Linked DNA regions of Pelodiscus sinensis. The protein of the gene in region 1 interacts with the protein of each later gene in a biochemical or structural test. Links are inferred from orthologs where the notes say so. Each region holds a gene or a part of one and is shown in the gene's direction. Other genes may lie near its edges. The genes, in order: FGFR2, FGF7, FGF10 and PLCG1.

Region 1 (6,846 bases):
AGTTTCTGAAAGAATCAGTGCTTCACAGCAAGTAGCAGAGTGAGAGACAAGTATGTAACACACAATATATTGCAGATACATAATGTAATTTAGGAAAAGGTTAATATAAAGCTTTTGCCCCAAATGAAAGAGAATAGAGAGATTGAGCATTAGGTGTTGAAGCTCTTTAAATGAACAGTTCAAATTCAGCTCAAGGTCAGAAGTGATTTTGAGTTATTAGTCACCATTTGATAACTTATGTGAACTGACTTTGATGATCTCCCTCCAGTTCCCCAGTGGGCAAGTATCTACTGCACACGAATGGGCCGCTGAGAGGCTACCCTTTGACAAGGAGAGGTGTTTTGGTCTGTATCGAGAGGTAGATATGGCAGTGTGGAGTGATTTGCTCTGCTGCTGTCCAAATTGTATCAGATCTTTGGTTAACAAGAAAGAAAAAAGAACAAGTGTCTAGGGTTTTATAAAGCAGCTTTCACAACCACTAAATTCACATGAAATTAGAAAGAAACCTCTTCTGATTCCCCAGAAATATTCTAAGTAGGTCTGAAAAAGAAAAGGGATAATGAATACACCCTTCATAATGTAAGAGGCATAAAGAATACAGCCTCCTGAGAAACAGATTGCTTATAATTTTCAAAAGAACTTGCTAGAAGCCACAATGTGTTTTGGAAGGAATAAGGATCATATTTCAGCCTTGGATTTTAGACACACATTGTGACACCCTGTGGCAGACATGCCAGGAACTTCATTCCATAAATCACATTTCTTGAAAAGGAGGCCTCTGTACTCAGTAGTAGTAGCAGCAGCAGCAGCATTTGTTTCTTCTTTTTCTTGGCTGCTTCACTTGGAAGTGGTATAAAGACTTAACCCTCGTCAGGAGAACCTTCAGAGACATAATGTAGTATGTGAAAGCTCCAACTTTTGCCTTGTTAAATGAATCTTAGTCCATATAAACACCCCCTGGAAAAAAATCCTGATAATGCTGCAAAATGGGTGTGCTGTTTTCATTTAGGTTTTTTGGCAGCATTTTTAACAAGAATATTTCTGTGACTCTCAAACCAGATGCATCATCTTGGATGGACTATGATGGCAATAAAAACATCACCAATATCTTTATTCTGAAAACAGGTTTTGTTAGAAACATCTTACCAGATAAGGAGAGAGAATGGGTAAGAATATTTATTCATTTGCTTAGACATGAGTGAGTCCTTATCAGGATTTTGTGTTCAACTGGACCCTTGTTTAAGTTCTTGGGTCCCTGGGTTTATTTTTTTTATTTTTCACTGTTTTACTTTTACTTTCCTTAAAGTGGTGCTTTTCCTTTTCTTTAATTGTTATATAACTCTAGGGAACTAGAAACATTTCTTACCTTGCCTTTTCATCCTGAAATGTCACAAGTAGATTTTTTTTTTGCATTTTTTGTGTTTATATTTAAACCATGTGAGTTGTGGCAACCAATGAGATACTCCCATATTTAAAGTTAAGCATGTGCCTAATTAAGTACTGTGTTGGGACAAAGGATAGACACTCAGTTCACCTAATGAGCACTGCCACATTACTGGTGGTGAAAGACAGTGATGATCTCACCGTAGCCTCTTGGATAGCCGCAGTACTGTCCTGTCTGCAGAGGAAAGTGCTTCCTGTCAGCCACTGAGAGTTAAAAAATAGTTCTTTCCCACCATAAAGGAATATACATTTTGGATCAAATTTTGTTTTGACTCTCGCTGTCCTAGTTTTTTTTAAAGAAATCAAGCACAACTAACTGTTAAAGATATTGCTTATTAAATAAAGTGGAATCCTTTAGATGTATCATTAAAATTTATAGTAGAGAGATCATGTAAAGTGCTGGACTGGCAGTCTGACAACTAAAAACCTCTGTTTATTTGTGGAACAGGTACAGCACATGCAGCTGCATGTTAAACTGCCTGTGTGTCTGCAGAAATGTGTTTCACCTGGGACTGAAGAACCATCCTATAGCACAGTGTAGCAGTTCAGTTTCCATACCTATTCATTCCCTCCTTGCATTCCACAGAAAGGACCATTAGAGGTGTCAATTTGTCCTAATTTTGCCATCCTACGATCTTGATATCTGTCCACTAGAAACTGCAATGAGACCACAATCTTGTTTAATGGTGTAATGACTTGGAATGTAACGTTGTTTGATAGTTGACCTGGACTGCGTTGAAGTGGCATGTCTATGCAGCAGCTGGGAGGTGTCATTCCCTGGGTAGACATACATGTGCTAATGCTGCTTGAGAGAGCCCCTAAAAATAGTGGTACACAATGCTGTTGAGATTTTGGTAGTTCTACAGCCCACAGCACAGACCTGGAGGGCTGCTAAAGTACTTGAGAGGCCTCTTTCCCCTGGAGCAGCCCAGGAACAGGAGGGTCCACGATGGCTTAAAGCCATTTGCACTCCTTTCCCCAGAAGCAGTGAGTTCTGTGCTGCACCACTTACACGTAATCTCACCTGGTATCTCTACCAGTCCCACAGCCATTTGGTTTCATGAATTCAGTCTCATTTTCCCCACAAATGTCTGTCTTCACTCTCTGTGATACCAGGCCAAGAAATACAGCTTTTTAAAATTGAAAATAACATGGACCAGAAGATGTGGAAATCTTGAGGTTGTAGCTGCCTCAGACAAAACCAAAACATATTTACTTATTATACTGTTTGCTAACAAAGACCAGAGCATGGAAACGAAAGGCAGCTTCCAGGCAACAGGTGTGCTTACTACCTTGTCCCCCTTTCCTTTGTTTAAAACACAAGGATGACAGCACTAATGTGCTGGTCATGCTGGGGCTAATTCCCAGTTCCAGCAATCAGTAGTTTGTGATCTCTAGCACGGTGGGTTTCAGACTTTTTTCTCATGATCCAGCTGATGAAAATTGATGCCTGTGACCCAACATAATTTGACTAAAGTGTGGGCTGATGATGAGAGCTTCAGTTTTGGGAGTGCAGCAGGGCTAGGCCAGGAAGAGCTTATCTCGAGTGGCCCCCAGTCAGTGCTGCAGCGGTACAAGTAGGTTTCCTGCCTGTCCTGGCACCACAGACTATGTTGCACCCCAGAAGCAGCCAGTAGCAGGTTCTAACCATTGGGATCATGGAGCTAGTGCTCAGGGCAGAAGCAATGCACAAAGCCCTGTGCACTCTTTTGCCCCCCATTCTCACCTAGGAGCCAGGCCTGCTGTTGGCCACTTCTGGGGGGCAGTGCAGTCTGCAGAGCCAGGACAGGTGGGAAGGGTGCGTTAGTACCCTCACTGACCACACTGCATCAACGAGATCCAGTGCCAGACATTCTGCTACTCAATCCTGAGCTGCAACCTGTAGTTTAAAACCACTGCCTCAGTACACACAAGGAAAGGTGCAATTTGTGCTTATTAGGGCTTCAACATGAAATGAGCTCTTTGGGTATGAATCTTATCTCCCCTTGCCTGAATGAAGATTTTGAACTAGTACATCTACATGGATGGCTGGAAATGAAGCAAATGCCTTGTTTTAATCTAGACTTAGCCCTCAAAATTCACTATCTCTTTCTTCTCAGAAACCCGGAGGTCTGACCCTTCCAAAACCATCCCAATAATATTTTTCACTTCTCCCCATGCACCCGAGAATGAGGGCTTTTCACAGGTTAATGGCTAAATGAACTTTGTTGTAAATTTGATGCTATGACTTCCAAAGGAAAGAAATGACAAGCATTGTTTTGCTGAGTATTACTTGGTGCTGTGCAGCCCTAAGGCATGCCATGAGTTAACTTTGCATTGTGATATCATTTCTGAGTTTCATGTCTGTCTTTTTATGTGAACACCACCCACACAAAAAGGGAGACCTGTCAAGCAGCAACATGTTCAAGACACCTAGACACACCTATTGAAGCAAAGCTTTCCCTGACGGAGTGTTTGGCATTCTTTTAGCCTTTGCCTATTCAATGGAAGAAAGCAAACAGGTATCGTAGAGTTTATTTTCACGTTGTATTTGTCCAACACCATAAACCTTCTGTGAATTGTAGTTCATGGACAGTCATGGAAAAGGATCTTCATAGCACATTTTCCTGCAGATTCCTAACTGCATATAATACATAATTCTATACCCTAAGCTTCTGGTGAAAACAGCAGTTTTGCATGTACATGCTGTGCTGAGTCTATTGTGGCATTTGTGTTTTGACTGGATGTTTTGATTTAATATTTATTTATTTATATTGTATTTTGTTTTATTTGCTGAACAGTGGGGGACGCAGGGAATATATAGGTTTGTTAGTTCCGTGAAAGTGGTTTTCAGGGTAAATTCCAGGGGGAAGGATCTTAGAACAAAGGCTAGTTTGAACACAGTACTGGGAGCAAGGAACTACCATGTTCTAGTCCTGACACTGTCACCAGTTTGCTGGATGGCCTCAGAAAAGTTACCACTCTGGTGTCTGTTTCCTGGTCTGTCAAATGGGAATAAGGGCTGATCAATACTTGAATCATTCATTGACATAGCTATAACAAAATACAGGACTATGTAGCACTTTAAAGACTGACAAGATGGTTTATTAGATGATTATCATCTAATAAACCATCTTGTTAGTCTTTAAAGTGCTACATAGTCCTGTATTTTGTTTCAGCTACACCAGACTAACACGGCTACATCTCTATCACTATTGACATAGCTATGTCTCTCAGGAGGATGAAAAAATACAACCTAACCTCCTGTGTAGACAGTGCTAGATAAATGGAAGAATTCTTCTGTTGACTTAGCTACTGCCTCTCAGGAGAAGTTCTCCCATTGCTGTAGTGAGTCCACCTCTCCATTGCTGTAGTGAGTGTCTAGAATAGTCCTGTTGTGAGTGCGGGGACTGGACTTAGTTGACCTGTCAAAAGACCTGGGGCCAGTCTTATGAACCTAAGAAAATCTATGAAATAATGTTTTATATGTTATACTGAATTATCCTCTGCCATAGTGCTTCGTCGCTCATAACCAAGGCCCAAAGGCCAATGTTTGAGGGTTTCAGTTCTGTGTATTGGGACTCAGATTGCAGGGCCCCGCACCCCAGGGCACTGGTACTCAGGAAGACTCAGACTTTGGTCTCTCCTCCTGGGTCATGTAGAAATTTTTATTGTCAGAAGAGGGGGTGTGTCTAATGAAGTTTGAGACCCTCTGGTTTAATGAATCCCCCTTCGTATAGTAAATGTAAAAATATTAGTATTTGAGATGAAAAATAAAATAAGTGTTCCTGTCATGGCTCCTTCCCCACTCTGGCATGATAAATGCAGAAGTGGGGGCCTGCAAGTGTACCCCAAAACCTTATCTACCAGGCTTTGGTACAAAACTTCCCCCCAAAATCTTAAAACCCTAAATTTTGGGAATAAAACTTCCGCTGCCACCACCCAAATATAAATAAAGCAATCAAGGGAAAGATCATTTGGGAAATCTCACCCCTAAAGTAAAAATCAGGGCACACGATTAACCAATTCCAGGTTAATAATTCAGCTTGGACCACAAGTTGCATATGAGTCAGCAGTGTGATGCTGTTGCAAAAAAAGGAAACATGATTCTGGGATGCATTAACAGGTGTGTTGTGAGCAAGGCACGAGAAGTCATTCTTCTGCTCTACTCTGCACTAGTTAGGCCTTGAAGTATTGTGTCCAGTTCTGGGCACCGCATTTCAAGAAAGATATGGAGAAATTGGAGAGGGTCCAGAGAAGAGCAACAAGAATGATTAAAGGTCTAGAGAACATGACCTATGAAGGAAGGCTGAAAAAATTGGGTTTGTTTATTTTAGAAAAGAGAAGATTGAGGGGGACATGATAGCCGTTTTCAGGTATCTAAAAGGGTGTCATAAGGAGGAGGAAGAAAACGTGTTCATCTTAGCCTCTGAGGATAGAACAAGAAGCAATGGGCTTAAACTGCAGCAAGGGAGGTTCAGGTTGGACATTAGAAAAATGTTCCTAACTATCAGGGTAGTCAAACACTGGAATAAATTGCCCAGGGAGGTTGTGGAATCTCCATCTCTGGAGATATTTAAGAGTAGGTTAGATAAATGTCTATCAGGGATGGTCTAGACAGTACTGGGTCCTGCCATGAGGGCAGGGGACTGGACTTGATGACCCCTAGAGGTCCCTATCAGTCCTAGTATTCTATGATTCTATAAAAAGAGAACATTTATCATCACAACAATATTCCTGTTGAAAGCTTAATGCCTAGATGGAAAAGTAACATGATATACTCATGGAGAAACTCCATGGGCTTAGAACTTAGTTACAGAGAAAAACCAACCATTTCTTGAAGTGTGCACAGACATCAGACCTCATCCCTAAAGAGAAAACAATAAAACCTAATGGATTTATCTAAACTTTACCCTACTAACAGAAAGTGAAGAAAGGGTCTTTTCTTGGAGGGAGAGAGAGACAATCTTGTCTCTCTCAGTAGCTGCAGAGCAAACCCCCCAGAGGCAAAGGAGGAAAAAACAAAATTCCTTTGTCCCAGTTGAAAGTCCTACCTACTTTTCTATTGGCCACTCCACCTGGCTAAGTGTGGTTAACCCATTAGTCCCCCGGCTGCTAGCCCTCTCTCATAATCATGACACTTCCAAATTGTCATCTATGACGATCTTCGTTCCCTACCTATTTCCCCCAAGAAACTTGCTATGAAATTAAATTTCCTTAGCTTAGAAGACATTCAATACAAGCTTTTCCAGAGGGTTTTTGCAATGCTTTGGTTCCATCTTTTGCATGTAAAGTTGGGTGCCTTTATGGTATCTTGCCAGGTGGTAGTTTGCCAAGGAATACCATAGATGAAATTGCATAGTGTAATATACTCCAGAACTTCATTCTGCTCACTTTCCACTCACTTAAAATAGTATTTGCAAT
Region 2 (7,138 bases), on another chromosome or scaffold:
ACGCCTAAGTGAGTTGGAGGAGGCACTATTTGCATCATTTTCAAGGGTTCAGCCTTGCAATAGGCTATACTATAGGGCTATTCTTGAAGTCTACCTAGACACTTAAGATCAAGTAGAACTTGCCCCCTTTGAGGGGCAAGCTGGCATGACAAATAATACCTGTGCTAAAGTCTCTATTTGTTTCCTTTCACTTCTGGCTTGCCACTTCAGATATCAATGGAGATCTTTAAAGACTAGAATGGTTATTCAAGACATTCTCAACTTTGCACCTTTGCATAGCAGTACAGGTGGATGAGTGGTTCTCTCTTAGACCCTAAATTTAAAAGCTCCACCACAGACAGCAGGGGGCTCTCAGCTGAGTGCTCCCTCTTTAGAATTCACTTTTCTTGGTAATTTCTCATGGCCCACTATTAGAGATCTTGTGGTCAAGTCCTCAGCAGATGTACATCAGCATAGCTCCATTGACTTCAATAGAAGTATGTCAGTGTATAGTAGCTGAAACCCTAGCCCCATTTTATTCAGTGCTTTACTGACTGATTTTCTTATATTCATAATCTTACTTTTCAAAAGTTGTGATTGATTCACTATTGGAAGTGCTTAGTTGTCACTACAAAATAAATTATAGAAATTAACACAATCAATATATCACAAGAGCAGCTTCCCCACTTCCTGTCCTAACCACCAAAATTCCAGATACCAGAAGAACCATTTGGAAGGAACTTATTATAAGACTATTCTATCACTGCAACAGGGACAAATTATTTCAATCCATAAATGCCAGGGATGGCACTCCCCAGGGCCCTTGCAGGTGAACTGTACTAAAAGCCACTTAAAGTGTTGAGTGGAACCATTTATGTTCCAGGTATTGTGGGCCAGGATGGGTGCATGCTACTGGGTCTCTCCTGAAGGAATCAAAACATGAGAATGGGCATTTGTTGATAGCATATAGTAGCATCAATTGGACTTTTTGATCATCTTAATTTCAGGATCTGGCCTGAAATCCACAATGATTTTGAATGGGTTTCACATGTTAGTAGGGACTAACTAGTCAGAAATCTTAGGTGACTGAAGACATTTTGTACCTTTTATACTTCCTCCCTCAATAAATAACTGCCATTATGGTGCATTAATCCATAAATGCAATTACTACATTATTATTAATTGTTCAAATCTAGAGTCAATTTGTCACTTAGATGTTTGGTCCTCTTTGTCGTTGTCCTTTCTGGGCTGGAGTGTGGTGTGGCTCTCATTTTCCTACATGAGCCTCCTTTTCTCTTCATTGTTAAAATGTATATTTGTAACAATTATAAAAATACTCTAAGGGTATGTCTACACTACAAAGTTAATTCGAACTAACAGACATTAGTTCGAATTAACTTTGATAGGCGCTACACTAGCGCTCCGCTAGTTCGAACTTAATTCGAACTAGCAGAGCGCTTAATTCGAACTAGGTAAACCTCATTTTACGAGGACTAACGCCTAGTTCGAATTAAGGGCTGTGTAGCCACTTAATTCGAACTAGTGGGAGGCTAGCCCTCCCCAGCGGCCACTCTGGGCACCACCAGGGAAACTCATCTGCCCCCCTCCCGGCCCCGGAGCCCTTAAAGGGACACGGGCTGGCTACGGTGCCCGTGCCAGGTGCAAGCCTTCCAGCACCCAGCCAGTAGACCCTGCACCTGGCACGGCTCGAGCCAGCCACCTGCTGCCACCCAGCCCTCCACCTCTTCCTGGGACCAGGCTGGCGACTCCCGGGAGCCTGCCCGGGTCCGCAAGAGGCGGGCGCCCCCCTGGTTTAGTGCGGAGATCGTGGTCCTCATCCACGACCTCTGCACTAGGCACAGGAAAGTGGCCATCTAGGGCAGGGGAGCTGCCAGCCTGGCCACCCGGGAGCAGGTTTGCATGAAAAATCAGGGTGGTCCACTGAGACCCCCGACCCTGAGCCCTGAGTTTAGAATGTCCGTACTGGGTCAGACCAAAGGTCCATCTAGCCCAGTAGCCTGTCTGCCGACAGTGGCCAACACTAGGGACCCTGGAGGGGATGGACTGAAACAATGACCGAGCCATTTGTCTCATGCCATCCATCTCCAGCCTTCCACAAACAGAGGCCAGGGACACCATTTCTACCCCCTGGCTAATACCACTCCATGGACCCAACCTCCATGACTTTATCTAACTTCTTTTTAAACTCTGTTCTAGTTCTAGCCTTCACAGCCTCCTGCAGCAAGGAGTTCCACAGGTTGACTATTTGCTTTGTGAAGAACAACTTTCTGTTATTAGTTTGAAGCCTGCTACCCATTCATTTCATTTGGTGTCCTCTAGTCCTTCTAGTATGGGAACTAATGAAGAACTTTTCTTTATGCACCCTCTCCACACCACTCATGCTTTTATAGACCTCTATCATATCCCCCCTCCGTCTCCTCTTTTCTAAGCTGAGAAGTCCCAGTCTCTTTAGCCTCTCTTCATGTGGGACCTGTTCCAAACCCCTGATCATTTTAGTTGCTCTCCCCTCTCCCACCCTCTCTCTTCCCCTCTCCTACCTCCTTTTCCCAGTTTCCCCGAGTTTTGTTCAATAAAGAGAGTTTCTATTTTTGAACACACGTGTCCTTTATTTTGTACATCAGGAAGGGGAGCTAGGGAGGGGTAAGTGGAAGGAGGCGAGGGAGGAATGGGGTACGAGCCCCCGATGGGGAGGACTGGGGTGGCTCTGCGGGCTGCTCAGGGTGGAAGTTCTCCTGAAGCCCCTTGATTGACCCCCCCCTCTGGATGGCAGCCTGCGGCAAGTGCAACCGGGCTGATGGCCGAGTGCTGTGATGTGCCGAGTGTGGGCACTCAGGGCACTCCAAGCCAGGACTGCTTTGCAAGAGGGGAACCCCTGAGAACTGTCTGTCCGGGGTGGGGGTCGGGTCCCTTTAAACACAGCCCTCGGCTAGCCTGAGGCAGCAGCTCCACACTCTAAGTCCTAATCTGATGCTCTGCCGGCACTGCTTCCGGCCATCCTTAACCTCAGTTCAGGGTCCACTCAGTGTGGATATGCTAGTTCGAATTAGCAAAACGCTAATTCGAACTAATTTTTAAGTCTAGATGCATTAGTTCGAATTAGCTTAGTTTGAATTAACTAATTTGAACTAAGTTAGTTCGAATTAGTGCTGTAATGTAGACATACCCTAAGAGAGTTAGAAAATAATTTTCCTTCACTAGTATGGAAGTATTTTCATGTAAATAATTTTTCTTTCAGGTAATAATAATAAAATAGAATTCCTGGGGTTCTACTCTCATACTCTACTTTGAGTAAATCTCACTGATATCAAGTGAGCACCTAGGGAGTGCTCCAAGGGAACTCTGAGAAAAGCTGAAGCATCAGAACTTTGTGAAGGGAAGTTACTCATATCCTCTGAGTTTGCATGTGGTTTGGGAAGATGGGAGGGCAAGCATGGTGACATAGGGTCCTCTGATTTCTCCCACCGGTGAGTAATTTGAAACACTCCAAAGTCATGAATCATTAAACCCTTCTCACCATTAAGTGGCATACATTATCTCTTACTGTTCTTAATGGCTATTAACTAGCTCAAGTTTTCAATCAAGTTTAAGAATTCCAATACACTAAATTATTCCCCACCTCTCCTGAGAAAGTTGTGGATCAGGGTACCCATAGCTATGTTACAATTACAATACTATTTTCAGAAATCTACAAATACAGGTAAGCAATTTCCTGTTTAGGACAGTGCATTATAAGATTTTTCCATTCCTGTTTTCTAAAGTATTGCAGAGATGTCCTGTAAGATAAAGAATAGAATCAAACAAGATTAAGAGGCTTGCTATGCTTAATGAATACCAGAGTTTCAACATGTTTTGTAATTGCTGGATTTCACCAAAATCACAAGAAGATTTTAAGGATGACATGGAGCAGAGATTTTTGGACAGCAGACTCATGCCAAAAGTAGAAAACAAATATGTAGAAACAGCATAATAGGTAGCTGTTATATTTGCCTCCCCAAAACTTAAGCCTTTAGATGCACGCTAATGTGTGCTAATAATGTGCTAATATGGATAACATCTGTACCACTGCAGCTTTTAAATCTTATGCTGCAATTTCTAGTAAGTATTCATTGGGGGAAAATTTGGAATATCATTATTACATTTTTCTCCAGGTGCTGAAAAAGGTCTAGACTGAATGCTAGATTTAGAACATACATTGCACTTTGTCCACCACAGTCATGAAATAGGCACCTTCTGTATTTTGTATGCAGTTGTTCCTTATTTACACGTCTACAATACAAAACACGACACACAATCCATAATAGACACCATGCCTCCCACTTTCACTAAATAATGCATCCAAGTATTTCAGATATCTAAAGGGAAAGTCTGTAAGAAAAGTATGTAGCCATTAATCTGTATAAACGATTTGGAGGAGAAATGCATGTGTGCATTTAAGGGAATACTGAACTAAATCAAAGAAAAGAAACATTTTAACTGACATGAAAATAAATGTTACCCAGTGATCACAGAAATCTGTTTCTGGAAAGTAGGTACATACTTGGAGATTTAAAGCATAAAGTATGTTTATAGCTCCCTCTGATGACCATTGGACACTACACAACATAAGTCTTCTTTTATTTTTGTTCATGCATTCAACTGACAGCTGACTGGTTAAATTCTAATTGCTTCCAAGTGAGGTCAGCAAAGGTATTTATCGAAAAGAACTGAACAACAGGCTCAACACATACACGCGCATGCACAAGCACATACACACACCACAACTCTTGCGTGTTGATTTATGGAAACAATTATAATTCTGCTGAAGACTTTCTGAGCTAAGAAAGTTTGTAGCTACGGCAGAGAGTCTCATGTTGCAAAAGGCAGACAACAGAAATGGAATACTTGTATACCCAGCTGTTATCAGGAACAAGTAAGTTATCTATCCTTTAAAAGTATGTTCAAGGCATTGTAACAACTAATAACTTTTTCAGTTTTCTTGATTGATGTATGTTAGAATAAACCTTCTTGACATTTTCTTTAAACATCTACAAGTAACTGAATTATGTATAATATATAAAAATAGAGTCCCATGAACATTTGGTCTGTCTTTACATTTAAACTAGAGAAGTGTGGGCAGTTCTCTAGGAAGAATGTGGCTAACTCCAAAGGTATAGGCATGAAGTAATCAAATGTAAGAGATGCAATAGCAGTCTACTTAGTTCAGTAGCTCAGCTAAATCAATAGTTTTCTTTTTGAAAGCCTTATTACTGAAGTACAAAGAGAGAATTGTACATAGTTCAAATGAGTGCTGCTATCAAGATCTCATAGTAGATATGTCTTGCATGTGGGCTTATGTATGTTTTTTAAGACGTTAACAGTGTCACTGCATAAAGCTAAAAAGGTTTTTTTGCTACGCTACAGTAGTCATACAGCATATATTACAGTTGCACACGTGTAACAATTGACCATAAAAATTTATCCATGACACTTTTCTCATAGATCTTTTACTTTCAGTGCAAGCAGCAAAATCAAGTAGTACAGAAGGTCATGACAGCCAAGGTTATTATAACCTGTTTCTTTAAAGGATATCCTGACTGAAAAGATATTTAAGGAGCTATCCTGTTTCAACATCAGTAACTATTAAGGAATAAGGATCAGAATTCTGGAAGAGGAAGCAATCTCAATTAAATCAATCTACAACTCGTTGTAAAGACAGAAGGCAGGTCAATGACCTAGAAGCAACGATCTACTTGAGATTTAATTTTCATTATGTTGTTCATGAACACCCAGAACACTGCACTATAATGCACAAATGGATACTGACATGGATCCTGCCAACTTTGCTCTACAGATCATATTTTTACATTATCTTTCTAGTGGGCACTATATCTTTAGCTTGCAATGACATGACTCCAGAGCAAATGGCTACAAATGTGAACTGTTCCAGCCCGGAACGACATACCAGAAGCTATGATTATATGGAAGGAGGGGATGTAAGAGTAAGAAGACTTTTCTGTCGAACACAGTGGTACATGAGGATTGATAAACAAGGCAAAATAAAAGGGACACGAGAAGCAAACAACAACTACAGTAAGTAATGTCTCTGCATTTGAAATTTGTATTGAAAGATTTTAAAATGTGGCTTTTTATCCCTTCATTTATGATGCTTTCACAATAATTTTGTAAAGTACAGTGACCATTCTATTAGACATGTTTTCCAATTAATCATGCAGCAGGACATTTGGTATTGATTTTGAAATGCGTCACTTTAAATAATACGTTACCAGTATGTTGTAGATCTACCAATGTATTAGTTACAGCTGGTAGCTATTAGCAAACAGAGAGCGTATTTTAACAAGTGAATTAAGGTTGTACATCTGCAAAAATATAACCACAAACTCTATGCTCATAAAGTACTTATAAAACATTAAACCACATTTATATAGGACGCAAATGATCTACAAGCTCAGTATGTGTGATTTAGCAATAAATATATATTCAATATTAGAACATTTAATGGAAAGAATTATTAAAATTGTCTTGCAAAACCAGTTGGACAATTTGCCGGCTAGGAACAAAATTTATTATAGCTTTTACAGCACATTATTACTATAATAATGACAAAATATTCTCTTCTCTCATTTCTAAAAAAGTTCACCCACCCGGAGAGGGTGGACATGTAAAATTTTACAATTATGCTTTTAACATGAGCTAATGGTTTTTTATAGTAATCCTGATTCACCTATATCAATATTTAAAATAATTTTCATATTTTGCATGTGCTGTTCTTACCAATTTGACAATTTATATACGGTATTGCAAATTTAGGAAAATATCACAACTACTTCAAGAAAATTGGTGCGTGATTTCTTTAATTCAGAACAAAATAAAAATACAGAGAACTATGTATTTTAGTGCTTAAAATGAGAAAAAGTACAAAATAATTATTGCTTTAGAGTGTCAGAGGCATCTGTTTTTCCAGTGAATAGTGTTTATAGGCATCTTAAACATCAAAACTCTGACCTGTGATGTTTAAAAATGTTGTTGGGTTACTTGCCATATAAATTAGGAAGCATTATATAATAGCCAAAAGAAAAACAAAGTGAAAGAGTTTGTAATATGATTGGTCATTTTCAGTTGAAAATTTATTTTCCCTCCC
Region 3 (7,858 bases), on another chromosome or scaffold:
GCGCCCAGCACATGCATGGCTCCACCCCCCGGGCACCAGCACATACATGGCCCCACCCTCGCCCGGTCTCGCAACCCCGCGCGGCACCTCCTACAATAAGGCGCCCCAGGGTGGTAGCCTGGTCAGCCCGTAGCTTGGGCTGGCTCTGCTCACTGGATTAGATTGAGGTTCATTATACAGTAGAACCTCAGATTTATGAACAGCAGAGTTACAAACTGATCATCAACCACACAAATCATTTGGACCTGGAAGTTGGCAAGCAAGCAATGACAGAGATACCGCCTCCAAAAAACAGCAAATATAGTACCCTACTGTGTTAAACTGCGAAAAATAAAAGGAAACTTTTAAAATTTAACAAGATATACTGAGCTTGTTTCATTTAAATTAAACAGCATTTTTCTTCTGTATAGTAAAGTTTCAAATCTGTATTGAGCCAGTGTTCAGTTGTAAACTTTTGAAAGAACCACCATAATGTTTTATTCAGAGTGAAGAACATTTCTGAATTACAACCTCAAATCCCAAGGTGTTTATAACTCTGAGTGTCTACTGTACCGCACACTACATGGAAAATGGGAATAATAATGTTTACTCACCTTCTTGCAAAGCACTTGAGATGTACAGAAAAGTGCTATAAAAGGACAGAGAGAATTTTTGTTATACTAAAGCATACCCATAGGAAAACCGTAAAGGTGACATATCATAAACCTTAATTTAACTTACAGAAAATACCACAGCCCACATCTTCCCTAGTTTATGGGACTGCATCCTATGGTGTAAACAATCCAGCATTCAATGCTCTATCTGACAGGCCTGCCTCAGATTAAGACAGAGTATTTATTGCCTACCGGGACTTGGAGATTCTACCTGTCATACCACTTCTGTACAAGCGGAATTGATCATATACCATGCTGCAAAACTCTGCAGCCTCCATTTGGCCTACAGACTGCATTTTTTGCTTCATGACCGTCATACAGCATTCCCTACATCATTTTTGCAGCACTCTAAGAATGACATCGCTGGATCAAATCTTCTTTCCTTGCAGTAGCTGGCAAAATTCCTATCTACTAGAATGGGAGCAGGATTGAATCTAATGATTATAAGGTGAATACACATTTCTAATTATAATGCAGCAAATAGTCTCGATTACTGTCCAGCAGTCCGAAGTCTGCACAAACATCTGGTTGTATTCCAGAGCGACTGGCTAAAATAACTTAAAGATATAAGATAGACAAGGTGGGTGAGGTAGTATCTATTATTGGATCAACTTCTGTTGGTGAAAGAGACAAAATTTCAAACTCCACAGAGCTCTCCCTCTGACAAGTTTATTACCTAAAACAAACTTGAAAGCTTGTTCTTGTCAGCAACTGAAATGGGTCCAGTAAAGACATGGCCTCACCCACTTTGTTTCATATCCTGGGACTCAGATGGTGACAATAACATTGCAGACTTAAAGACAACACCAAGTAAAGATGATAGTTTGAGGGAAATAAAAAATAGGCAAAGCCTGAGTATTCTTTGAATTCAAGAATGAATTTCTGTCTTGCAACAGGAACACTTGCAATTCATATGGTAAAAAAGATCTCTACTGTCAAAAGAAAAATGTGACACAGCCCTCTGAGGCTAGAAAATTGTCATGGATATTTTCAACTTAAATTCCTGCATGTACTTCATTTCTCCCAACATTCTTAGGAAAATTGATCTGCTGAAACAACACCCTGAAAAATGTTTTCTACTATTTTGCTTGTTTCAATGTAGATGAATCGATGTTAATGAATGTTTATAAGAATGCCACAAAATAAACTATGTGAAAATCATAAAGAGCCTGGAGGCAAAAAAAGAAACAGTTTTAGAAGCAGTAGGTACCACTTCTAGTGTAGGACCTGTACTGAAGTTAGTTCCTTTTCAAACTTTGCAGTGGAACAATTAATAAAGGAACCCATTAAGGTCTGATTGTTGCTGCTAAAAAGGAAGGTTGAATTTCAGTCCTTTGAAGTAACTGAGAATGATTCAGGCCTCATTACAGAGATATAATCTACATTCATACATTTATGTTAGTGATTCAAATCTATTGGGACAGATTGAATTCCGTTAAATAGTGCATCTTTCCTGTGGAACTTTTCTCAGGCTTTCTCAGGCTAACCTAAGAGGTGACCTAACAATACAAAGTAGTGGGGTATTTAGGGATTCAACTGTGCTATAAAAGAAAGGCTATACAGAAAGTAGAAAAAGGAATGAGATATAATCTAAAAAGCTATGTCGGCTTTTCATTTGGGCTCTGTTTTGTAAATGCCCTCCCTGTCATCACACAGTATAGAAAAGGACTCTATCTGTTGTAGTGGTTTTAAGTACTGCACTAAGTATTGCACCTGCCAGAACTAGATTAAGTATGAAACTTCTAATGTTTCAATTTTTATTTTTGATTCATGAAACCAAAGAGAAGTTACAAATAGATCTTAGCAGAATTTCTCACATGAGCAAAAAATTCATGTGTGAGGCTTTAAAAATATTTTAAGCTTCTATTGTTACTTTTCTTCCCACTACAGAGAAACTCTTTTTTAAAAAAAAAAATGCTGCTGATTTTGTGATATTTGTTAGAACAAAGTTAATCAAATGTACAATTTATAAGACATGTATTTTAATTACTTGTCATTTTAAATTTTTAGAATCAGCTGAAAATCTGGCTGAAACACAGATCCTTCTGAGGCAACCCAGGTATAAAACTATGAGCTAGAAAACTGAAAATTAACATGGTAGCCACATTTTAATTTGTCAGACATTCATTATAGAATAGAATAGAATAGAATAGAATAGAATAGAGATGTCGCCGTGTTAGTCTTTTTCTTTAAGATTATAAAAAAATCCTAAATCAAAATAAGCCTGAAAATGTTCTGAAGTCTTTATCACAGTAAAATATGAAAAATAAATATTCTGGAGTAACATAAACAACACTATAAAACATATTAATTATAGCATTAAATGGTTCTATTTTAAGGCTGTTTAAATGTCACCCACTAAATCTAACACATAAATTTAAGAACTGACTCTTTTGCAACAGGGTAAACACCATAATTGGAGAAAATCATTTCTAATTTTCTACAGTGATGTTAACAATATACTAAAAAGCCCAGCCTAATTAATCAATCTAATTTTAGAACTATTTGTCTTTTATATATTTTCTGCTGTTCAAGGTAAGATTGATTCCAAATACACAATATAATGGCTGATGCTGTTTTTCCCTTGTAGTCTATTGATCAGCATAATTTCCTTTGCCTATGCCTGTTTCAGCCGAGTTCCATGTTTATGCACAGGATAACCCACTTTGTTTCCACATGTCAGTTCCCGTCTGTAATCTATTCTTTTATTTCATTGTGACTCCTTATCTTGCATTTTATACTAATGATTTTACATCAGTGAATGCTGAGGCACAATTAATATATTGTGCAAGGAATGTTCACGAGCAGAGTTACTCCCTGATCCCCCTTTAAGTAATAAAAATGAGTACATCATAGGGGGTGCCTGTAATTGTTGGTAAAAAGAAACCCACAGAAAACTTTTCAGACAGATTTTATGGGGAAAACTTTGCCATCGCTATAAAAGCCCCCTTTTCTTTGAAGTCCGACGCGTGATCCAGTCAATGACTCATGTTAGTAATTAGAAATGTTAGGTCATTTAGATCCCCGATTTCATTTGAGACAAGGAGGGTGAGCAGAGAAGGAGACACGATAAATCTTGAGAGGCTTTACAGGAAGAGTAGGCTAAAGTGTGAACTTTTTATTTTAGCAACGGAAGCGAGAAATCAGTGATACTTTAAAGCAGGGGAGAGACCTCCCTGGAAGCTGGCAGAGGGGAAGGAAAGGGAGCTAATTATGTCTCTTCCCCTTTACTCTCCTTGACCAGCATAAAATGTAACTTTTCAGGGCTTGCCTCTGCACTATATGCTTCTAACCCGTCTTCCCCCCCCCCCCCCCATCCGTTCTATAGCCCAGAGAGGGAGTGCGGAAAGCAGCAGAGAAACGAGCTCCAGGTGGTTCTTTCAAGCACTTCACTGCCAAAAAAATAAAATAAAATCCCGCGCTAGAAAACAAGTACTTAAAAAAGGAAGGAAAAGAAGGGGGGCTCCCTGGAGGGGATTGGTTCAGCCTGGAAGACAGGGAAATTAGTAAAGCATGAGTCTCCAAGCCATGCTGGTGGCCAGCACTCGGATGAGAACGCTTTCGGAGCAATTAGCGAAGAGCTGAAGGCGGCTGCTGCTGCTGCAGACGGGGAGGAAGCAAGGGCAGTTCCCTCCGGAGGCTCCCTCCACAGCAAGCATTTGCTCACTCCAGCTGCAGAAGGGTTTCAGATGTCCCACCGCTGCTTGACCCCCTGCAAATAAGGGTTGACCACCAGAGGCACATCCCACCTCTTGCTTGTAATCACTGACATGCACTGAGGCTACAGCTTCCAACCTGTTTACAACCAGACGGGGGAAGAGAAGTTAGGAGTTTTCTCTCTGGATTTTTTTTTCTTTTTGGTACTTTCTGGAGGATTCAAAGCAAAACAAAGGAACTGCCTCCTCGGGGCTGTCAGTGAGCAGGGACGAGTTGTACAACTGGCTTGGGCTTTGCCAAGGAAAGGGGGTGGGGAAACCAGAAGGTGCAAAAACCATCAAGTGTGTGGGGAGGGAGGGGGAGAATAGGGGCAAGAAACCCCTTCCAGTGCCCCCCCCCCCGGGTTGTGTTCATGATTTGTTTTTGCTGTCGTTCACTGCTGTCATCTATTTTTCAGACCTTTCTGCATCTAAGATGGTAAAGGAAGGAGGGAGGAAGAGAACGAATTAACCACGGGGAAGCCTCAGACCAGGTTGGGGAGGGGGGTGAGAGAAAAAAGAGAGGATTAACCACCACCACCACCACCAACACACACAAAAACCCCACCAACTTTCTTCTGTGAGGGAGGACTCGGAGGATTAAAAGGCAGCAACTTCTGAGGCGATTTGTCCCCTGAGTTATGGATGTTGGTGTACTCACTTCAGGCCAGATCAGAGCTCAGAGGGCTCTAACCAGAAGCAGCAGCCCCCCGCTCCCCACTTGCCTTTTACCGGGTTTTACCCTTCCAGTATGTTTCTTCTGATGAGACATTTTCCAGCGCCCAGCGTTTCAGTACAATGTGCAAATGGATACTGACAAATGGTGCCTCAGCCTTTTCCCACCTGCCTTGCTGCGGCTGCTGCCTCTTCCTGCTGCTCTTCTTGGTGTCTTCTGGGTCTGTCATCTGCCAGGACATGCGGTCCCCGGAGGCCACCAACGCTTCTTCTTCATCCTCCTCCTCTTCATCCTTCTCCTCTCCTTCCAGCGCGGGGAGGCACGTGCGGAGCTACAATCACCTCCAGGGAGATGTCCGCTGGAGGAAGCTCTACTCTTATAACAAGTACTTTCTCCGGATTGAGAAGAACGGCAAGGTCAGCGGGACCAAGAAGGAGAACTGCCCGTACAGTAAGTACTGACTCCCCACACCCCCTGGGAACTGAACCATCCAGAGGGAGCCAAATCAGTACCCCCTCCTCCCTCCCAAAAAGCCATCCCAGCATCACCTCACTACCAGTGCATCTCGTTTGCTCACATGCCACCCTGCCAGCCAAACCTTTCCTGCTCAAGAGCACTTGCTTGGGAAGGTGACAGAAAGAGGTGGAGTAGAGGTCTCTTTTGACTCTGCTCCCTGCATCCTTCTCATATCGGCACATCTCCTCTCCCTCTAGAAATTTGTTTTGCAAATGGTTTGAGTGAACACAATTGGTTTCCCGGGCTGGCAGAAAAGCAAATTAGAAAGATTTGTAAAGGGGGGCGAGAAGGGGGAGGGAGAGGCTCTTTTCTACTGTGTCTGAAAACAATTATCCCCTGTCATTAGAATGGCTTGATGTAAACTCAAGTTTAAAACAATACATTGATTCCCCACCTCCCTTTAAGCTCCACAAGATTTACTGACACCTCCCCCCTTTCCTCCCGCCATCCTTTCACTCCCCATCCAGTGAAAAGTGTTTTTCTGATTTTGATTTCTGCCCCTACATGTTGTTGGGTTTTGAGCGATTGCAGCCCACGAAGTTAACTTTTAAGGCACCACTGCTGTTATTTTGTGTCTGCCCTGCCTTCTCTCTGGTAATATGATGCTCATGTCTGCGTTGTCAATAGCATATGTGCTGCTTTGTGCTGTCCTGTTGCACTCCTTTCTTTCTTCGGAAAGCTCTCATGTTGCAGCACTGCTATACTGCTATTGCATCGTAAACATCTGGGGCTGGACTAATGCAGACCTCACACTCGTTTCAGTGTCATAGTTTCTTAAAGAAGAAATATTTTCAAAGTAAAAGTCACAAGACTTGTAGTTTACCCCAGACAGTGAACGTTTCTCTAAATGCTAATTAGGCTTCCAATAATAGAACATTCATAACTTTTTGGTAGACTGTCGTGAGAAATGTAATTTTTGTGCAGACAAGGAAATGAATAATCTCAAATTGAAGGGGAGGAACGGTAGTAAAGCATAATATATAGCAGTGTAAGTTTCAATGGCTACATCCCTGTGTTGAAGAAGGTAGGCTCTGCTATACCAATGGTTAAGAAAAGCTACTTTATTTGATCTTACTGGTGAAAAGCAACGGGTTGGGTTTCGGTTGTTTTTGTAAATCCAAATATACCTAGGGATAGAAACGGTGCTAAACTAAAAACAAATGGGTAGATAAATGAGAGCTGCTTGAACAGTAAGTAAAGTACAGAGTGTGGTTTGGCAGGATGAAGTGTTATATATTTAAAAAGATGACAGTTAATCCTCCAGTCCTTGCATTATTTATTTTCACCTCCATAACTGGCATTTTTTTCATTTGCGTTCTTGTATCATTGCTTCCACTTGCTACAGCTAGCAATTTATTTTAATATTTTATATTATCACAGCTGTTAATTCTGTAGTATTAGACCTATGTTAGTAATGCTTTATTTGTCAAAGCAGATTGGCTTTACCATATAGTCTTTTAGTTTTCATAGAAAAGTTTTATTAGATACAATCATATGCTGAAGGCTTCATTTTGTCTGTACCTAGCTGTTACTGTGGACCATGTTTCTTAATAGAAACTACTATGCTTCTAAAGACTACTGTGTTTCTCAGACGTGTTTCTGAATGTTTGTGTACACTTCTATTGTTAAGTAAATAGGTTTTCTCTGAGCATATTGCTTCAGGAAGAACTGGAAGTACTAAGGGACTGTCTGCATACATTTATATATGAAAGTAACTTTTCTTAAGCAGTTCTATTTCAATCACTGCAGCTATTCATTTGAGTAAAGTTACTTATACATGTAAATGCCTGCAAGAAGAGTCCCTGACTGAGGAAAGAACGTAAAGGGAAACACATGTTCAGAGCCCCAATCCTACCCTCCTTAAACCAGAGCAACTCCCCCTTACTCCACTTGGCATTATGCCCAGGTCTTTTTCTTTTTCACCCACCACATAAGAAAATTAAAAGGTAGTTAATATTCTTGTTGACATGACATAGATATTTTCAGAGTTGCAGAATGTTTGTCTGTACTGCCAAAATTAAATAAAACACAGATTTGTTTACCTGTTTTCCCCTCCCTTCCCCGAGCACATAAAATTTCAGAACGACCATACTGGGTTGGACCAAAGGTCTATCTAGCCCAGTAACCTGCCTTCTGACAGTGGCCAATGGCAGGTGCTTCAGAGGGAATGAACAGAACAGGTAATCATCAAGTGATGTAAATCAAGCATTAATTCAGAACTACAAAACTATTATAGTTTGCAGTCAGCTAAGTATACATAAAATAAATGAAGGGCACCGTTTCTTCAAAATTAATAACTTGAGAGTGCTTAAATGAAG
Region 4 (7,388 bases), on another chromosome or scaffold:
AGCCAGAAGTAAAGTGGGGTGACCAGTGCCTCTCTGCCTGCTTTGCTTCGTGTGCGTTACGGTTCTGGAATGTAGGAACTAACGGCTGTTACGTTGCAGCCTTCCAGAAAGCAAGTTTGAGGTTTTTAATCTGCTGTCTCTGGTTTGATGTTGGGAAGGCAACTGTCCACAGAAGAGGGTAATGGCTCTGTTACTGCTGCCAACTGAGGGGATTTTGCTCTTTAACTCAAGAACTAGCAGTTCATGCTTTGGGTGAAGAAAATCCTGGGGCCGAGCCCTCCTGGGGCCAGTTCATCAAGTAGTTCACATTTACACCATTGCCTCCCCCAGGTCTGAATCCCAAATGGAACATTTTGAGACCATTGTACATTGAAGATTTGTACAAAGCACCTCTGTTTTATCCGGCTGCTTACTCCTTTTCCTCACACACCAGTGCAGGTAATTTCATGTCACATTTGACTTTGTGACTGTAAATAGAAACTCTCTCTTTTGCCAATGAACAGCATGTTTTAAAAAACAACAACCCATGCAGAATTCCTGATAGCTGCATGTGCAAAATGCATGCCTAACTGCACATGCAAATATCATGATTGCACATGGCAACTGGATAATGTTTCACATGGAGATACTCTGGAGAATGCTCCTGCCACAGTCAGGCTGACTTTTGTGCACCTGCTCTCAGTACCCCATCTGGAAGAAGGAATTCCCTGTGTGGGCTGATAGGGAAAAGATCTGCCCATAGGCCAGGGAGTAGCAGCATTGCTGCTCTGCAGCCTCAGTACTGTGGTAGCTCAAGCATGTGCTGGCGTATCTCAGCAGTTGTGGTTCATAGTCGGTTTCCGTGGAGTTGTGCTTCAGAACCACACGCAGTTAGGACTTTCTGCACCTTTGTGCCCCAGCAGAACCGCGCCAGTTGTGTTTACCCAAGGCTGTCCCTCCCTATCAAAATGGGAAGGGCAGGATTTGTATTTTTGTTATGCTAGTAAAGGTTTGGGAGAGACATTAATGACAAGCTGCGGCGTGCTGAAACAGGGCCGTACTGCATAAAGCCTGGGTTAGTGATCTGAGCACAGATCTGGGTGCCAGGAATCCTAGGAATTTCAAACCTGGCATTGGGAACCAATTCCTCTCCCATATTTGGCACATCATACTAAGCTTTGATTGTACTTGCAGTGCAATGAAGGGCAACATTTCCTAGTTATTTTAGTAGGGGCAGGCCCTTAACCTCATTGGCTTTTCCTTCCCTGTCTCTGTACAGCCGTGGGCTACATCTAGACTGGCACGATTTTCCACAAATGCTTTTAACGGAAAAGTTTTTCCATTAAAAGCGTTTGCAGAAAAGAGCGTCTAGATTGGCACGGACGCTTTTCCGCAAAAGCAGTTTTTTAGACGCGGTTTTGCGCAAGAAAGCCCGGCTTGCCATTTTCGCCATTGGGGCTTTTTTGCGCAAAACAGTTTTTAGCTGTCTACACTGGCCCTCTTGCGCAAAAACATTTCCGGAAAAGGTCTTTTGCCCAAACGGGAATGTCAAAGCATTTGCGCAAGAAGCACTGATTTCAGACAGTAGAACATCAGTGCTTTTGTGCAAAATCAAGTGGCCAGTGTAGACAGCTGGCAAATTTTTGCGCAAAAACTTGCCAGTCTAGACGCAGCCATGGTGTCCAACCAGTTCTGAAGCAGTTGTCACTACAGTGGCTACTGCTATAGCAAACTAGCCACACTCAGCTGGCCAAATAGCCACATGTGGCTAGCATGGTGGACACCACCGCTGTGAAGTATAGTAACTGGGGAATATCCTTTTAAATAGTAGAATAGTGATAGAAATGTAGCTGTGTTAGTCTGGTGTAGCTGAAACAAAATACAGGACTATGTAGCACTTTAAAGACTAACAAGATGGTTTATTAGATGATGAGCTTTCGTGGGCCAGACCCACTTCCTCAGATCAAATAGAAGAGGAAGAAAATAGTCACAGCCATATATACCAAAGGATACAATTAAAAAAATGAACACATATGAAAAGGACAAATCACATTTGGAGAGTTGTCTGGTTGCTCACCTGCATCCTACTTCAGAAGACATTCAAATCTGTACTTGAAAGAGAATCCTCTGAACTGGCATTCATGCTAAAATTCTACACTCTCCGCGGGGGGCTGAACAAAGACTCCAGCTATCTTACCCATTACAAAGATAGCTTCCCCAATTATATAATAGCTAATACTATTAACTCACAGACATCTACCCTTCCCCACCTCTATCATTAACTCACAGGCATTCACCTTCCTTTCCCCCTCCCCCGCATCCTCCTTCTGTTCTGAAATGTGATTTGTCCTTTTCATATGTGTTCATTTTTTAAATTGTATCCTTTGGTATATATGGCTGTGATTATTTTCTTCCACTATTTGATCTGAGGAAGTGGGTCTGGCCCACGAAAGCTCATCATCTAATAAACCATCTTGTTAGTCTTTAAAGTGCTACATAGTCCTGTATTTTGTTTCTTTTAAATAGTAGTGAGCCCTCTTGTGTTCTATGTTGTAGGACTCAGTCGGAGCAGCAGTATGTATATAGCTAGGCCTGGCCTCAAGTAGACAGGGTGATGTGGACTCCCACGGTGCCAATGCTGTTTATTTTCTTGTGTAAGGAGCAAAAGATAGACCAGCCTTTAAAACTGGACCACAGTAATTCTTACCAATTACTGCTTAAAAAGTGTGTGCATTATTAGCATTCCCTGTGCTGGTTATGCAAATGCTGTTAGGAATCAGCTGTTAACCAATTTAATGAGAGCAAAAAGCTGATATATCCTTAAAACCCCACCAGGACTGATGAAAACTTGCCCTGCCCTGCCCCAGTGTCACCGTGTTGTGTCTGGCTGATTTGGGGTTGAGGAGGACAAGGGAAGTCAGGGGGCTTCCAAAGAATGAAAGTGGCAAACAGCCCTTAAATACTTTCTAAAGCAACTGTTTATCCCCACACTAAGCCTCGCTTTGTTTAATTTCCTGCCACTGGCCTGAATGAGGATGTAGCACTGCACAATTGGCCTGGCACGAGCGGATGCTAACACAAACCTGGCATGAAGAGGACAGCTGCTCTCTCCTCTGCACGAAACATTATGGCATGGAGCAGACCGGCAAAGGAAGCTGTGTCCGGTTTGGGGTTAGTGGACACAGGTGGAGGGGAAAAGACAGACAGACAGGATGGGCTCTTGATTAAGGGACTTGTCTGTGCTTCAGAAGAGCTGCATTCAGTCCCTCCTCTGCCCCAGACTCTCTCTATGCTGGGGGCCAAGCCACTGAGGCTCATTGGTGTTTAGGGTCCTAACTCCCATTGATATCAATGGTGGGCTAGCCACCAATGGGAGTCAGGCACCTAAATACCTTTGAGCATCTGAGGCTTAATTTCTTTGTCTTGCTGTTCCCTGTTAGTCAAATGGAGCTGGTGTCACTTTCCTCTCACACTTTGTCTTGTTTTGGGAGCTCCTCAGGGCAGGGACTGCCCCTTACCGTGCATTTGTGCAGCCCCTGGCACAATGGGGCCCTAGCGTGAATTAGGGCCTCTACGTGCTACTATAATACCAATGATGATAACACAGACCTCCTGCCTCCCAGACCAGTGCCACTTTCAGTGCAGTTACTGGTAAGGGCACTAGATGGGAGATCAGGAATTCTTGATCTTTTCCTGGCTTGGCCACTGACCTGGTGGGTGAGTTCAGGCCTTTCCCTTCTCAGTTTGCCCATTTGCCCCTTGTCCATCGAACTCCAGGGCCCCCTGCCCTGAATCTCCTCAGAGCTGCTGTCCTGCTAGCCTAACACAAAGGTAGTCTCATGCTCATGTTCAGCCCAGAGGGATTCTTTGTTATGACCTCATCATCCTCCTAGAGCGTGGAAGAACACACCAGTGGGGAGCCGTGTGAATGTCACAATATGTGGGAGAAGCCCTGACAGGGAAGGTCTTCATGCACCAGCCCTAGAAGCTGCTGCATGTGCATGTGGCTTGCAGGGGGGGCTCTGCTGTGCTCGTCCCCAGATAGCTGGCATTAGGTATCCCTGTTTGGGGACCCAGTAATAGGTCCTGATCCAATTGTCCACTTTCTCAACTCCCTGGTCTTCCTTCAGCCCTGGCGGGTGAGGTGTGTGTGCCAGCACGATGACGTAGGAGGACACAGCCTTGTTCTGCAGCTGGAGGAGCAGAGCCAGCCTGGGAGCCAAGCCATGGGGCTGGCGTGAGCAGAGAAGGAGGCATCCCCCCTGCCAGACTGCCACTAGCCCTGAGCAGCACCTCGTTGACTGGCTGTCTATGTGACTGTGCAGAGGGAAAGGGGGCGCTTTCCCAGAGCCCATTTGGACTGGGGACCGCTTTCCTTCTCCCTTTCTCCCAGCCCTACAGGTGGGTTCCCCTCCAGCCTCTCACTTGCATGCCCCTCCCGGATGTGTGTGAGATAGCGGATCCCCAGCCAGGCCTCTCCCGCTAGAAGCGCCCCTCTGTGGAGGCGGCAGGAAGCGGAGACCCCCACCCAAGACGAGGTAACCGGCGGGGGGCGGAGGGAAAGGGCCTGGTCCCTTTAAGAAGCTGCTCGCTGGCTCCTCCGCTCTGCTTTGTTTTACACGAAGGCTGGGAGGGGGCGGGCTAAGGGAGAGAGGAGCGACCGTCGCCTCTGCGCGCTCGCCATATGGCACTGCCCTAGGGGGCACGTGAGCCCGCAGGGGCGGAAAACCCGCGGCCTGACAGCGCGCACCATTGATCCGCGCTCTGCCCCGCGGAAGCTCCATTCCCGGCTCTGCTGGCAAAGGGAGGGAGGAGGGGGCCTCCTTTTCCTAATGCACGTGCCGGGAGCAGGAGGGGCCGGAGTAATCCCCGCTGCGGCTGGCGCGGAAGAGCCCCGGAGGGTGAAAGAGGCAGGCTGCTGGCTGCTTCAGTCCTTTCTTCCCGAGCTCTCGGGAGAGCTGATCCGGCTCCGGCCGCGGCAGGGGGCGAGCCGCCAGCTGCGGGGGAAAGCGAGCTCGTGCGGGGGGGACGGACTGTAAGCGAGGGCCCCACAGCGCAAGGCAGCCCGAGGGTCCTTCCCCCGGGCGCGCTCTGCAAGCCGCGGGGCCGGGGAATGCTTCGTGCCCGCCCGCTTTCGCTTTGGAGCCCGCTCGGGAAGGAGAACAAATATGGTGCATGATTCGGAGCGGGAGAGGGGCGAGTTTCTGCGGCTCGGCGGAGTGCGAAGAGCCGGGAGCGGGGGACGGGAGCGGGTTGTGCGTTTGCCCTTCTAGCCTCCCCCCCAGTAAAACACCCTTCCCCCCGTAGGAAGGGAGAGCCCTGCCCCGCGGCGCCATGCACTGAAGCAGCGGCGGGGATTGTTTGCGCGCTGAGTCCCACCAGCGGGGAGCGTGGAGGGCGGCAGTTCCCTTTTGTTTGGAGATTTCGCCGCATTCGGGGAAGGAGGCGGCGGAGGGCGTCATGGCGTCTGCCTTTTCCAATGGTCCCGGCGTCCCGAGCGAAGCGGAGGTGGTGCACCTCTGCCGGAGCCTGGAAGTGGGCACCGTCATGACTTTGTTTTACTCCAAAAAATCCCAGCGGCCGGAGAGGAAAACTTTCCAGGTGAAGCTCGAAACGCGGCAGATCACTTGGAGCCGGGGCTCGGAGAAGGTCGAAGGGGCGAGTAAGTTGCCTGGATCCTTCTTCTCTTTAAACGGCTAACCCTGGCTGCGTCTCGTTCCTCTTTCGGAGCAGGGCTTAGGAGCCTGCGGGTGCCTGGCGCTTGGCATGGGCCGGAGGCGGGCTGCGTTCGGTGTAAGTGAGGCGCCCTGGGAACTAGATACAGCAGTGGAAGTTGTCCTAAAGAAATATCCATTTTAAAAAATGCCTGCTGTTCTCTCTCTCCTCCCCCCCCCCCCATTTACATTACTGATCTGAGAGTGGAATTGCAAGTGCATCTGTCTTGATTATCTGACAATCTGTTTTGGCCCTTCTTATTTTGCCTGTCTCCTGCCCCACCTCCTAAAATTGCAGCATAACGTAAGAGGAAAAATAGATTTCCTGTTTCCTCGGGATTTTAAAAAAAACTAAAAGTATTTTTATCCATTCTTGCTACTGTAATTTAATGTATCTAGGTTCTCATGGTCTTGAGTACCTGTGCATGCATGCGCGGGAGATGGGGGTGGGGGAGAGAAGAGAGAGAAATTACAGTGAAGTTTTTGTGTTTTACTTGCAAAAGCGAATGATCCAAAAACGGCTGAAGCCTTTGGAGAGTGATTGGATTTTTAACTCTTGCTCCACTTTTAGCAAGTTGTATTCCCTTGCCCATATATCCTACCATCTTTGATTTGTGTGTTGATTGAGTGGGAGCTGTGCTGCATGTAGATACAAACTCCTTTTATTATCCATGCCTGCTTAAGAGGACAGTAGTCTAGCCAGTTACATGGAAATTCTTGACTGTCTGCAGACCTAATTTTTATCTTAAAGCCATGAAGTAGTTGGTTGCTTTGTTTACTCTGGTATTTAAAGTTATGGACAGAGTTGGTAGGTCCAGCCCTGATTTTGATTACTGCAGTGAGGTCATACCTGAAGCAGTGGATGGCTGGAGAGATGGATTTCTGTGCCAGATACAGTTGAAAAATTAACATTGTGGGTAGTGACTCCTCTGCTGCTTTTCATTTTCCTGGAGCTTGATGATAATCTGCAAAACAAGAACGCTTATCTGCCAGATAAGCTATTAGTGCCTAATTTCTCTCACTTGCAGGTACATAAGCAGATGTTGACACAACTAACTGCGTGATGGATTGATATGTTGTAATCCTCTCATAAACTGTACTAGCTAAATTGTAAAATACTAATATGGCTAGTAGTCTGATATGCATTATTAGTAGGGACTGTCATTTGGTATCAAGTTGGTTCCCATAAAAATAGGATAGGCTGGGTCTAAAATCAGGGGTGCGTCCTTTTTGTATCTGTGTCCCTGCCATGTTTTTAGTACAAATTGAGCATCGACATTGATTTCTCAAGAAGAGCAGTTCTCTCCTGTCTCCTTCCTGAACCAGAGCTTGATCATTAATAGGATATCTGGTTTCTGCAGTCTGACACATTTCTGTCCATAAGCTAACCATCTGCTATTTGATCAGTTCGCATGGATCATAAGTAAATAGTGGTTTTAATAGTGTTTAGATACTATGGTGATGGGTGCTGTAGAAATTAGATAGCACTCTAGAAAGCTGGGTGATATTTAACTTTCATCTTGGTTAATGACTGCAGAGACTTAGGATAAGACTGAAGTCTGTGATTCTCTTGATATCTTTACTGACAGCACCTCTGTATCAGAGGGATAGCTAAGCTCTGTAAAAAATCTTTACAGAAGGCAATCCAATAAAATCTTCTGTTTTCACATGTAGCACCCGAGGCAGGAAAAACAC

What was found.
Region 2: the proteins of FGFR2 (region 1) and FGF7 form a complex in vitro, tested with the Homo sapiens proteins (3 studies listed by BioGRID). The link is inferred for Pelodiscus sinensis from reciprocal best matches to the Homo sapiens genes FGFR2 and FGF7.
Region 3: the proteins of FGFR2 (region 1) and FGF10 are reported together in a solved structure, tested with the Homo sapiens proteins (3 studies listed by BioGRID and IntAct, with this or other methods). The link is inferred for Pelodiscus sinensis from reciprocal best matches to the Homo sapiens genes FGFR2 and FGF10.
Region 4: the proteins of FGFR2 (region 1) and PLCG1 form a complex in vitro, tested with the Homo sapiens proteins (2 studies listed by BioGRID and IntAct). The link is inferred for Pelodiscus sinensis from reciprocal best matches to the Homo sapiens genes FGFR2 and PLCG1.

What each region holds. Positions count from the first base shown.
Region 1 is NC_134718.1:57,071,689-57,078,534, forward strand, and holds the start of FGFR2 (fibroblast growth factor receptor 2), read left to right. Parts: upstream 1-3,821; 5' UTR 3,822-3,944; intron 3,945-6,846. UniProt on the Homo sapiens protein: Tyrosine-protein kinase that acts as a cell-surface receptor for fibroblast growth factors and plays an essential role in the regulation of cell proliferation, differentiation, migration and apoptosis, and in the regulation of embryonic development.
Region 2 is NC_134724.1:21,760,900-21,768,037, reverse strand, and holds the start of FGF7 (fibroblast growth factor 7), read left to right. Parts: upstream 1-4,138; 5' UTR 4,139-4,909; intron 4,910-5,478; 5' UTR 5,479-5,783; coding exon 5,784-6,069; intron 6,070-7,138. UniProt on the Homo sapiens protein: Plays an important role in the regulation of embryonic development, cell proliferation and cell differentiation. Required for normal branching morphogenesis. Growth factor active on keratinocytes.
Region 3 is NC_134716.1:101,213,790-101,221,647, forward strand, and holds the start of FGF10 (fibroblast growth factor 10 precursor), read left to right. Parts: upstream 1-4,856; 5' UTR 4,857-5,146; coding exon 5,147-5,474; intron 5,475-7,858. UniProt on the Homo sapiens protein: Plays an important role in the regulation of embryonic development, cell proliferation and cell differentiation. Required for normal branching morphogenesis. May play a role in wound healing.
Region 4 is NC_134728.1:25,001,143-25,008,530, reverse strand, and holds the start of PLCG1 (1-phosphatidylinositol 4,5-bisphosphate phosphodiesterase gamma-1), read left to right. Parts: upstream 1-4,362; 5' UTR 4,363-4,380; intron 4,381-4,614; exon of another isoform or gene 4,615-4,889; intron 4,890-4,895; exon of another isoform or gene 4,896-5,286; 5' UTR 5,287-5,439; coding exon 5,440-5,641; intron 5,642-7,388. UniProt on the Homo sapiens protein: Mediates the production of the second messenger molecules diacylglycerol (DAG) and inositol 1,4,5-trisphosphate (IP3). Plays an important role in the regulation of intracellular signaling cascades.